Macaca mulatta: one gene and its partners. The protein of the gene in region 1 interacts with the protein of each later gene in a biochemical or structural test. Links are inferred from orthologs where the notes say so. Each region holds a gene or a part of one and is shown in the gene's direction. Other genes may lie near its edges. The genes, in order: MCM6, MCMBP and CDC7.

What was found.
Region 2: the proteins of MCM6 (region 1) and MCMBP form a complex in vitro, tested with the Homo sapiens proteins (2 studies listed by BioGRID). The link is inferred for Macaca mulatta from reciprocal best matches to the Homo sapiens genes MCM6 and MCMBP.
Region 3: of the proteins of MCM6 (region 1) and CDC7, one has a biochemical effect on the other in vitro, tested with the Homo sapiens proteins (2 studies listed by BioGRID). The link is inferred for Macaca mulatta from reciprocal best matches to the Homo sapiens genes MCM6 and CDC7.

The regions. Positions count from the first base shown.
Region 1 is NC_133417.1:27,473,978-27,477,631, reverse strand, and holds part of MCM6 (DNA replication licensing factor MCM6), read left to right. Parts: intron 1-980; coding exon 981-1,122; intron 1,123-3,654. UniProt on the Homo sapiens protein: Acts as a component of the MCM2-7 complex (MCM complex) which is the replicative helicase essential for 'once per cell cycle' DNA replication initiation and elongation in eukaryotic cells.
Region 2 is NC_133414.1:131,947,741-131,951,394, reverse strand, and holds part of MCMBP (mini-chromosome maintenance complex-binding protein), read left to right. Parts: intron 1-214; coding exon 215-366; intron 367-2,066; coding exon 2,067-2,167; intron 2,168-3,654. UniProt on the Homo sapiens protein: Associated component of the MCM complex that acts as a regulator of DNA replication.
Region 3 is NC_133406.1:148,801,703-148,805,356, reverse strand, and holds part of CDC7 (cell division cycle 7-related protein kinase), read left to right. Parts: intron 1-47; coding exon 48-131; intron 132-455; coding exon 456-591; intron 592-3,654. UniProt on the Homo sapiens protein: Kinase involved in initiation of DNA replication. Phosphorylates critical substrates that regulate the G1/S phase transition and initiation of DNA replication, such as MCM proteins and CLASPIN.

The DNA.
Region 1 (3,654 bases):
TTTGCATAGCACTTTGTCGATGGAGTTCACAGAGTAGATAATTCCACAGAAAAATGTTTAATAGCACAGTGTGCTATTAAGAAAATTGTTTTTTGGCCGGGCGCGGTGGCTCAAGCCTGTAATCCCAGCACTTTGGGAGGCCGAGACGGGCGGATCACGAGGTCAGGAGATCGAGACAATCCTGGCTAACACAGTGAAACCCCATCTCTACTAAAAAATACAAAAAACTAGCCAGGCGAGGTGGTGGGCGCCTGTAGTCCCAGCTACTCGGGAGGCTGAGGCAGGAGAATGGCGTGAACCCGGGAGGCGGAGCTTGCAGTGAGCTGAGATCCGGCCACTGCACTCCAGCCCAGGCGGCAGAGACTCCGTCTCAAAAAAAAAAAAAAAAAAATCGTTTTTAAGAAACAATTTTTTTTTTAAGAAAATTGTTTTTCCTTCTTACTGGATTTATGAACTAAGCAGCTGTAAATTGCATTCAGCATCTTATTTAATCCACATAAATTCAGTTAACATACATTTATTCAGTACTGGTCACTGTAGGTGATAGAAAAGTGTTATGAACCATTTCCTCAAACTCTTGACAGAACTATAAGAACTGGCATTAAAAAGGACTAGCAAATGTGGTAGGCTGTGGTGGACATAGTTCATTTATCAGGAGAGATCGTTGAGGGCTAAGGCATTGGGTAAGGTTTTGTGTGGGAGGTAGGACTCATGGACAAGTAAAGGCTCTGGCTTTTAGGATAGTGAGCACTGGCACAGTGACATCTGTGGTGTAGGAGAAGACATTAGAACAGTGGTTTAGGTGACTAAGTCCACAGAGCAAGAACCAAGATCAGAAGCCAGGTATTATTACTCCAGTTTTATGCTTTGCTTTAGCTGACTCTACCTTTTGGTTGGTAAACATGCCTTTACTGTTTCCTCTGAAAGTGTTTAACTTTATGTTGAAAAATTAGTTTTTCATCTATAGCTTTTCATTTCAGGCAATGATGAAGTAAAACGGGGTGTCCTGCTGATGCTCTTTGGTGGCGTTCCAAAGACAACAGGAGAAGGGACCTCTCTTCGAGGGGACATAAATGTTTGCATTGTTGGTGACCCAAGTACAGCTAAGAGCCAATTTCTCAAGTAAGCATTTGCCTGATATAGTATAGCAGGAAAAAGTGTACATAGTTCCCAGGCTGGCTGTGCTACCAAGAATACAGTCACCATGGCCTTACTAGGAGTGTAAATTATGACTATGTTAAATATATAATTCTCATAAAGATATGGCAACATTTTACAATTTTTTAGAATAGGGAAAAATTGCCTGCAATACCAATCTCACATTGAACTCTTTAGTCTTTGTATAATATCTTTGTACAAAAGTGTTTGAATATGTGAATTATGTATTTTCATTATTGTAAATCATATTATACATACTTGTAATTTTAATTTTCCCTAAACATTTTTTCCATGTATCTTTTTGCATGGAAAAATCTCATGAGTTTCTCATTTTCACAGATGTCTTCTTTTGTTGGTATATTATAACTTACAAAATCATTTCCTTAGCCCTGTTAAATTTAACAGGATAGTTTATTATAATAATTATTGATATAGATGCAGTGAACATCATAATGTTATATACATTTTTTGTTTGTTTCCTCTGGGTATATTGCTAGATACAGGATTGTTGAGACTAAGAATACAAACATTTGTTAGGTTTTAAAATAGGATGTACTTTCTTTTTTTTTTTTTTTGAGACGGAGTCTCGCTCTGCCGCCCAGGCTGGAGTGCAGTGGCCGGATCTCAGCTCACTGCAAGCTCCGCCTCCCGGGTTCATGCCATTCTCCTGCCTCAGCCTTCCGAGTAGCTAGGACTACAGGCGCCCGCCACCTCGCCCGGCTAGTTTTTTGTATTTTTTAGTAGAGACGGGGTTTCACCGTGTCAGCCAGGATTGTCTCGATCTCCTGACCTCGTGATCCGCCCGTCTCGGCCTCCCAAAGTGCTGGGATTACAGGCTTTAGCCACCGCGCCCGGCCTGGATGTACTTTCTAAAGGGAATGCTATGAGATATTTTATGTTAACTTTGTCAGTAGGAACACTATTTTTGACTATTTTTAGAAGCTGTAATAAATACTTGGTTACTTTCAAACTTTTAAGAAACTTAGGGCCCAAAATAAAAGCAACCAGTTTCTGAGCACCTGCCATGTTCTCGGTGCTGTGTATGTGTTATGTCTTACTCTGGCAGCACCCAGACAGGCATGTGTATTATTCCCTTTTTTTCAGGGAGTCACAACCTCTCCAAGCCTACAAGAAATTTGCCCACTCTCTTGTAGGTGAAAGGTGACACTGAGCCATGAATATTAAAATTCAGATACAGTTGCCGTTGCCTGCAAAACGTGTGTACTTCGTGCTACATCAAACTGCCTTTTCTTTATTTGTTTTGGAAATTTGTAACATAGTACCATTTTAGAATATTGAACGTTTTTAGTTGGTTTGGAGTATTATGAGTAAATATTTCTTTTGAACATATCACGAACTGAGTTTTAGATTTTAAGATAGTAGTCCTGTGTTACAAAGGATGTTTTTTTTCTTGTCATTCTCTCTCCCCCCGCCGCCCAAAAAAAAAAGATGTACTACAGTGTTGCCTCTGGTAACAGTATCATGTGGTATGTGACAGTCTTAGTGAATTCTGTAGCATTTTTTATGTATAAAATCTGTGTATAATGATAGTTGGAGTATCCAATCTGGCTGCCTTTTTTTCTTGCCTAATTGCCCTTGATTAGAGCCATCAGTATAACGTTGAATAGAAGTGGCAAGAGCAGACATCCGTGTCTTGTTCCTGATCATAGGGGCAAAACATTCAGCCTTTCACCTTTGAGTTTGATGTTATCTGTGGTTTTCATAGATGCCCTTTGTCAGGTTAAAGAAAAAGCCCTTTATTAGACTTAGGAAAATCTTCTCTATTCCTAGTTTGTTTGGTTTTTATAATGAAAGGTGTTGGATTTTGTCAGATACTTTTTCTACATCTGTTTTGGTGGTCATGTAGTTGTTTTATTAATTTAGCATATTGATTGATTTTCAGATGTTAAACCAATCTTGCATTTCTGGAATAAGCCCCGTATCTAGTTTTGTTTTATTTTTAATTGCAAGACCTTCTGATAGTTGATTGTTGCTATTTATTACTATTAAAGGCTTTTAAAATTGATGTTTTAGCCAGGTGTGGTGGCTCACACCTGTAATCCCAGCACTTTGGGAGGCTGAAATGGGTGGATCACGAGGTCAGGAGATCAAGACCATCCTGGCTAACACAGTGAAACCCCATCTCTACTAAAAATACAAAAAAATTAGCCAGGTGTGGTGGCGGGTGCCTGTAGCCCCAGCTACTTGGGAGGCTGAGGCAGGAGAATGACATGAACCCGCGAGGCAGAGCTTGAAGTAAGCCAAGATTGCGCCACTGCACTCCAGCCTAGGGGACAGAGCAAGACTCCGTCTAAATAAATAAATAAATACAATTTAAAAATAAATAAATAAAATTGATGTTTTAGGCTAGAGTGGTAGCTCACGTCTATAATCCCAGCACTTCGGGAGGCCAAAGTAGGCGGATCACCTGAGGTCGGGAGTTCGAGACCAGCCTGGCCAACATGGTGAAACCCCATCTCTACTAAAAATACAAAA
Region 2 (3,654 bases), on another chromosome or scaffold:
ATAAATTTTTAGATCTTCATATTTATCTTTGTTCTCTTACAGATCAAACAAAAGACTTTGTTAGTATGTGCTGTTTCCTTAAAAACTGTAACAACTTGAACTTTGCAAGCTCAGAAGCATCACATATGTCAAACTTGAAAGGCACTTATGGAACATTCTTTTTCTCCAGGAGGGCTTAGAAATGACTAAGTGCAATGCTATCCTTTGAATTTAGGGAGTGTTGGTGGTCTTCAATGGTGTGGAGAGCCAAAACGTTTGGAAACTGAAGCTTCTACTGGGCAACAGCTGAACTCTCTGAACTTCTCTTCTCCTTTTGATTTGAATTTTCCATTGCCAGGAGAGAAGGGCCCTGCGTGCCTTGTGAAGGTAATAAAACCTTTCTTAGGTCTGACATTGACATGTTATGTGTCTCAGAAAGTAGCTTAGTGTCTGAGCATTTGCATTCGTTTTCTTATGCTGGACTAGCTATAGCAAATCACTGCAAATTTAATAGCCTAAAGCAGCAAAAGTTTATCATCTTACAGGCTTTAGGTCAGAAATCCAACATGGTCTCACCGAGGTAAACTCCTTTGTATGTAGGAGTTGGACTACATTCCTTTCTTGGAGCCCCTAAGGGAGAATTTCCTTGGCTTGTGGCTCCTTCTTCCATATTCATAGCCAGCAACATTGCATTTGACCATTTTTTTCATGGTGACATCTCACCTGACCACAACCAGGAAAGGTTCCCCGGTTTTAAGAATCTGTGGATTACATGGGGCCCACACAGTTAATCGAGGATAATCCCCCCCATTTCAAGGTTATTAATCACACCTCTGCACGTTCCTTTTGCATATAAGCTAACATTCACAAGTTAAAAGAATCAAAGAACATCTCAAATGCAGAAGCAGAACAACTTTTAAATTGTCTGTTCCCTTCCTGTATCATTTCTAACATATAATCTTCATTTTTGTCTTCTTCCTTCTCTCAGCAAAACCTATTTCTCACTTGTATTTAAAATAAAACAGAAGGAAGAAAACTTTTAATAGTTTTTTCTTCCATCTTACTTATTCTAGTGTTTTGATGCTGATAAATGAGCAAGTGACAGAAGGTTTTAAAATGATTGTTAAGGATTTCCATCCTTTGTGCATTTTGGGTTTTCTTGTTTTGGGGGCAGGGGGGTTTGTTTTGTTTTATTGAGGCAGTCTTACTCTGTTGTCCAGGCTGGTGTGCAGTGGCATGATCTTGGCTCACTGCAACTTCTACCTCCTGGGTTCAGGCGATTCTCGTGCCTCAGCCTCCTAAGTAGCTGAGATTACAGGCATGTGCCACCACACCCAGCTAGTTTTTTGTATTTTTCCTAGAGATGGGGTTTCACTATGTTGGCTAGGCTGGTCTCGAATTCCTGACCTCAAGTGATCCACCCACCTCAGCCTTCCAAAGTGCTGGGATTCCAGGGGTGACCACTACACTCAGATTCTCAGTGGTTTTAATTGAAATGATACTTCAGTCATATGGCACAGGGACCAAAATGACTACTTTTTTCCCTGCCATGCTTCTGCCGGGTCTGTTCAGTAAATAAATGGCCTTGACGATTACTAAAGTCCATCATGACAATTTTGAATGTGTTTTTTTTTTTAAATTGTGAAAAATCTTCTGGCCATTCTAAGTTTTGTGTTAATCCAATGTTGCAGTTTATGAATAAATGCAAAGTTAATCATCTTGTTTTTGTTTTTCCTTTTCTTGATGTGGTTAATAGATTTTGAGATAGTGCACGTTTCTAGTTTTAACTGTCAGCCTTTGGGAAAAGCCCTTTTTTAATTTTAGAAAAAGACTTTTTTTTTTGTAGTACTGTGGTATATTGAAAAGAGATATTAGTCTGGAAGTTAGGCATCCTGTGTTTTGGTTTTTCACTTATTTGCTAACTAGCAGAGTGACTCTTGGTCTCAATTTATAAAAATTTATAAAATAAAGGACTTGCTTTAAGGTCCATTTCCTGATCTAAAATTCTAAGATGTTAGTACTCCAGGACTAGTATCTTAAGCTTTGTGTCTGTTCTAACAGTATGATTTCATGTGGTCTCTTGTTAGGTTTATGAAGATTGGGATTGTTTCAAAGTAAATGACATTCTTGAGCTGTATGGCATCCTGTCTGTGGATCCTGTGCTGAGTATACTGAATAACGATGAAAGGTGAGTCTGTGTGCTCTTTTTCTGGTCTCCTTTATTTTTATGTAATTTCAAGTTTTTGGGAAAGTTACAGGATGGTTTTGAAGAACTCGCTTCCCGGATGTACCAGTTGTAAACACATGCACCCCATGCGCTCTGTCATTCATTTGTGCTCTCTATGGATGCACACATTTTTCTGAAACACTTCAAAATATATTGCAGAAATCAAACCCTTTTACCCCAACTGCTTGTCAACATTTCCTAAGAGCACTGACTTTCTCATATGTAATCAGAGTACAGGTATCAAAACTAGGAAATTTGCCACAAATACACAATACACTAATCCACAGTCTATACTTAATTTTACTAATTGTCTTAATCATGTTCTTTCTTACACTTCTCCCTTCCGCATCCCCCAGTCCAGGGTTCGGAAGCTCGCTTATTCTCTATTTCTACTGAGTTCATACTGTATTTCTGATTCCAGTTCAGCACCACAGGTGTCGTTCTACTTGTTCTCCTTTCTGTGTTAGTGTAACTCTTAAACTTGATTCCCATTTTTCACAATCTGTCATTTGCACATTTGTACAACATAGAGAAGGGAATTTCAGAATTGTTAACTCATACCTCTATAAAACATAAACCTAAATAACTAGAGTTCAATCTGAAATAGTCCTCAGCCTTTGTCTTTCATGGTCTTGCCACTTTTTTTTTCCCCTTAAACAACAGAAATATATGTCTTCCAGTAGTTCTGGAGACTGGGAAGTCCAAAATCAAGTTCCCAGCAGATGTGGTTTCTAGTGAGGGCCCACTTCTGGTTTGCAGGTGGCTGTCTTCTCACGTGGTAGAGAGCAGAAAGCCTTGACGTTTTTGAAGAGTGTAAGCCAGTTACTTGTTTCCTCATGTACTTGTTACTTGTTAGACTCAATGTTGCGCATTTTTGGCAGGAATATTACAGAAGTGATGTATCCTCAGTATGTTAAAGCAGGAGGCATGCGATGTCAGTCTGTCCCGTTACTGGTGAGGTTAATTTTCATCAGTTGGTTAAGGTGTGTCTTCCAGATGTCTCTTCTCTAAAGTTACATTTCTCACTTTGTAATTGACAAGTAACTTGGAGGAAGATACTTTGGGACGTAAATATCCAGTTTCTCATTAAACTTTCACCAATTTATTTCAGCATTAATTGATGATTCTTGCTTGAATCAGTTATTACAACGTTGGCAATTCTCTAACTCAGTACATTTATTTATTGGCATTCTACTATAAAAGATATCTCTTCCATGTGTTTATTCAAGTAATTTATTTACTTATATTTAGTATGGACTAATAGATTCTGATTTTATTCAATGTTAGTATCATTATATTATTTTGAGACCCAAGTTTTCCCAGATGTAGCTAGTGGGAGCCACTTTAAGCAGGTGCTGGGTCCTTTTTTTGAGATGATCTTACTATTTTTTAACATTTATTTTCTGGCATATTAAGCTGTTGCAGCTTCATCATATACTTTGAAGATC
Region 3 (3,654 bases), on another chromosome or scaffold:
AATATACTGTCATTGATTAAAAGTCTAAATTTTTGTTTCCTTGAAAGGTGTTAAAAAAGATATTGAGAAGCTTTATGAAGCTGTACCACAGCTTGGGAATGTGTTTAAGATTAAGGACAAAATTGGAGAAGGTAATTTGGGGATATGCTTTACTATTTTTACAAGGTCTTTTTTCCCTCCTGTTTTCCTTTTGTAATCTTGCTTTTCATTACTACTTCTTATTGAAAAATATACCACTTTTTAGACTATTAAGACCGTAGTTTTATTACTAATTATGGTAGCAGCTTTTCTTTTTCAACCTCAAAGAAAGAATAAATAATAAATATTTACAGTAAAATGAAATCCTGTTTTAATCTATTATGCCATTGAAACAGTTTTTACAATCTATTTTAGAATTGTTTCATTAACATTTTTAAAAACCCTGATATTGAAAAATTTAATACATTGTTTTACAGGCACTTTCAGCTCTGTTTATTTGGCCACAGCACAGTTACAAGTAGGACCTGAAGAGAAAATTGCTCTAAAACACTTGATTCCAACAAGTCATCCTGTAAGAATTGCAGCTGAACTTCAGTGCCTAACAGTGGCTGGGTAGGCAATTTAAACATATTTTAATTGAACTTGTATATAATTTATAAGATTTTAAAGTAGATGCTTAGCAGGGATGAGGAGATTGTATGTGAATTAAATACATTTTTCAGTCAAGTGTTTGCAATTTGCTAGCACTTTCCTTCTAACCTTGCAATAGTTAGTTAAATTTATAGTAATTCTTTTAGATTGGATTTCCCTTGAGGCTCGGCTTGATTTCCTGTCTTTTATCACTGCTTTTTGTAACCTTCCTGCCAAATCATAAACCTTGGCTTTCATGGTTTACATTATTTTGTAAATGTAGGGAACTCACATTTCACATTTCCCCAGCTATTGACGACCTCATCTAATATTTTATTTAGAATAATGGAATCATCTGGTATGGTTTCTCTCTGCTGGGTCATTTCTGTCAACATAAGGACATGATTTAGTATCTTATCCTCCTAAACTGCCCTCCTTCTTCCACCTGCTCCATCATTTCTTTGTTCCCTCCTTAACAGCCAGACTTCTCAACAATTATCTGCATACATTGTTCTCATTTCACACCTCCCTTTCACTAAATACTCACTGCGGCTGTTCTCCTCTAAACTGGAAACTATAGAGTCAGCCATTACTCTAGGCATCATTTAGCACAATTGACTTGAACCCTTATCTTGACTTCTGTACTGCCACACCCTCGTTGTTTTCTTCTTCCCTCATTTGGCCTTTCATTTTGTGTCTTTGCCAGCTCTTCCACTTCTATCTGACCCCTAAATGTTGGAGTTCCTCATGCTTGCTCTTGGGTTTCTCTGTATTCTCCTTAGTGTCCTCCATTTCCACATGATCTAAAGTAATGATTCCCACAAGTATATAGTTAATCTCAGACCTTTTATCGTAACTACAGGTTTGTATATATCCACTTGCCTATTTAACATTTCCATTTGGTGCCTGATAAATATCTCAAACCTAATATGCCAAAACTAAACCTTAACATGCCAAAAATAACCCCACCACAACAAATGTTCTTATCTACCCATCTCTGCAAATGGCCCATCTACGCACTTGTTCGGGCCAGAAACCTAGAAATCATCCTCATTTTCTGTTTCTCTCCTAAACCACATTAATCACTAAGTCCTAGCCATTTTGCCTCTAAAATATATCTAGAAGTTCATCCATGTCTATCTTCTCTGCCACTACCTCAGCTGAAGCCTAGACTATAACTGTAGCCTGCTGCGTCTTTCTCCCCTTCATTCTGTCTTCACACAGCAGCCAGAATGATCTTTAAAATATAAAATATATATGTATATAACTTAAATTGGGTCATTAGTTCCCCCACTTAAAATCTTTCAATGGTTTCCCTTTGTACTTTGAAAAAAAATTCAACCTTCTCATGCCCGTCTTCCCACCTCCTTCACTGTACTCCATTTCTTTAGTTTATCGAATTTGTCTCAAGAGCCTTCTTACCTCAGGGCCACTGCCCAGACTGTTTGCCCATTCAGGAAGGCCTCTCCCAGTCATTGCCTGCTGACCCTTTATCTTCTGATCTGAGCAAGAGTGAAACTGGACACAGGAGTTCATACTTGTAATCCCAGCACTTTGGGAGGATTGCTTGAGGCCAGGAGTTTGAGACCTGCCTGGGCAACATAGCAAGACCCCATCTTTACAAAAAACTTAAAAATTGGGCAGGCAGGGTGGCACACATCTGTAGTCCCAGCTACTTGGGAGACTGAGGTAGGAGGATCATTTGAGCCCAGGAGTTTGAGGCTGTAATGACCTGCGATCGCTCCACTGCACTCCATCCAGCATGGTCAGCAAAACAAGACCCTGTCTCTAAGGAAAAAAAAAGAGTGACACTGCTTAAAAGATGTCTTCTCTGAATTAAATTAGATTCTCCTATTTTCTTCTAATTGTCATAGCATCTTTTGATTTCTTTCAAAGCCCTTACCATAATCTGTCATTATAAGTTACCTTGTTATTATCTGTATTGTCCACTAGGTAGTAAACTCCATGAGGACAGAAATTCTGTAAATTTTATTCACTGTTGCATTACTAATGTCTGTAATCCCTAACAGCAAATAACAGTGCCCACTAAATATTGAATGAATGAATAAGTAAGCCTGTTTGTTTCAGCCCTCTGTGTACTATAGAAGACAAGAAAATGAGATGGCCTCTGTAAAGAACGCTTGCATACGTTCTTGTACCGTAAATGTGATCATTCCTTTTTCTATACTTTAACTGTCTCCCTCTACCACTTTTTCTTTTTCTGTGCTTAAAAAGGTACATGCTAAAAATGCCTTCATCTGATCTTACAGTGCAGTCAGGCAAATTGTCTTTAGGCTCAGCTTCCATTGTGTTTTATTTTCCTTTCTTCTGTTTTGTTTCTTCCTTTCCACTTAAATTGCTGTCTTAAAAATTACCAGTTAATTATTCTTTGCCAAACTAAAAGCCTCCCCTCAGTTGTTATTCTCTTTGACTTCCATGCTAATAACTCCTCCTTCAAAATTCCTTTCCTATTTGGCTCTCTAACTTGACTTCTTCCAAGCTTAGTTTTCTTTTCTCACTATTAATTTTCATGTCTCTAGGTATCACTTCTCTGCAAGTACTCTCACTGACTTCTCACTTGTCTTACTTAAGGTTTAGTCCCTTATCTAGATAGCTCTATCAAAATGATGAGGTCTGGTTTTAGCTGCTGCTTTTACTGGCTTTACTTATGTTTTGATATCTCTATTGTTTTCTTACTCAGGCTCAAAATCATAGAAATCACCTTTGTCCTATTTTACTCTTTTATGAAGCAGTGTAGCATAGTGATTAAGAGCATATGTCTGGAGCAAAATGCCTGGGTTCAAATCCTGGCTGTATGATCTATTAGTTTAGTGACCCTAATTTATTTATTACTGTTACCATCTTATCTGCTAAGTCTTATTAATTTTTTCCCTTTTTTCTCTCTCTGCCACTTCCCCAGTTACAACTATAATTACCTCGTTGGAATTATTATAGTAATGTCAAAACTGGTGCTGTTTTTGTTTTAAAAGAAAACTTTAACACAAGAACACAAGTCACTTATGTTTATATTATGTGATGATGATT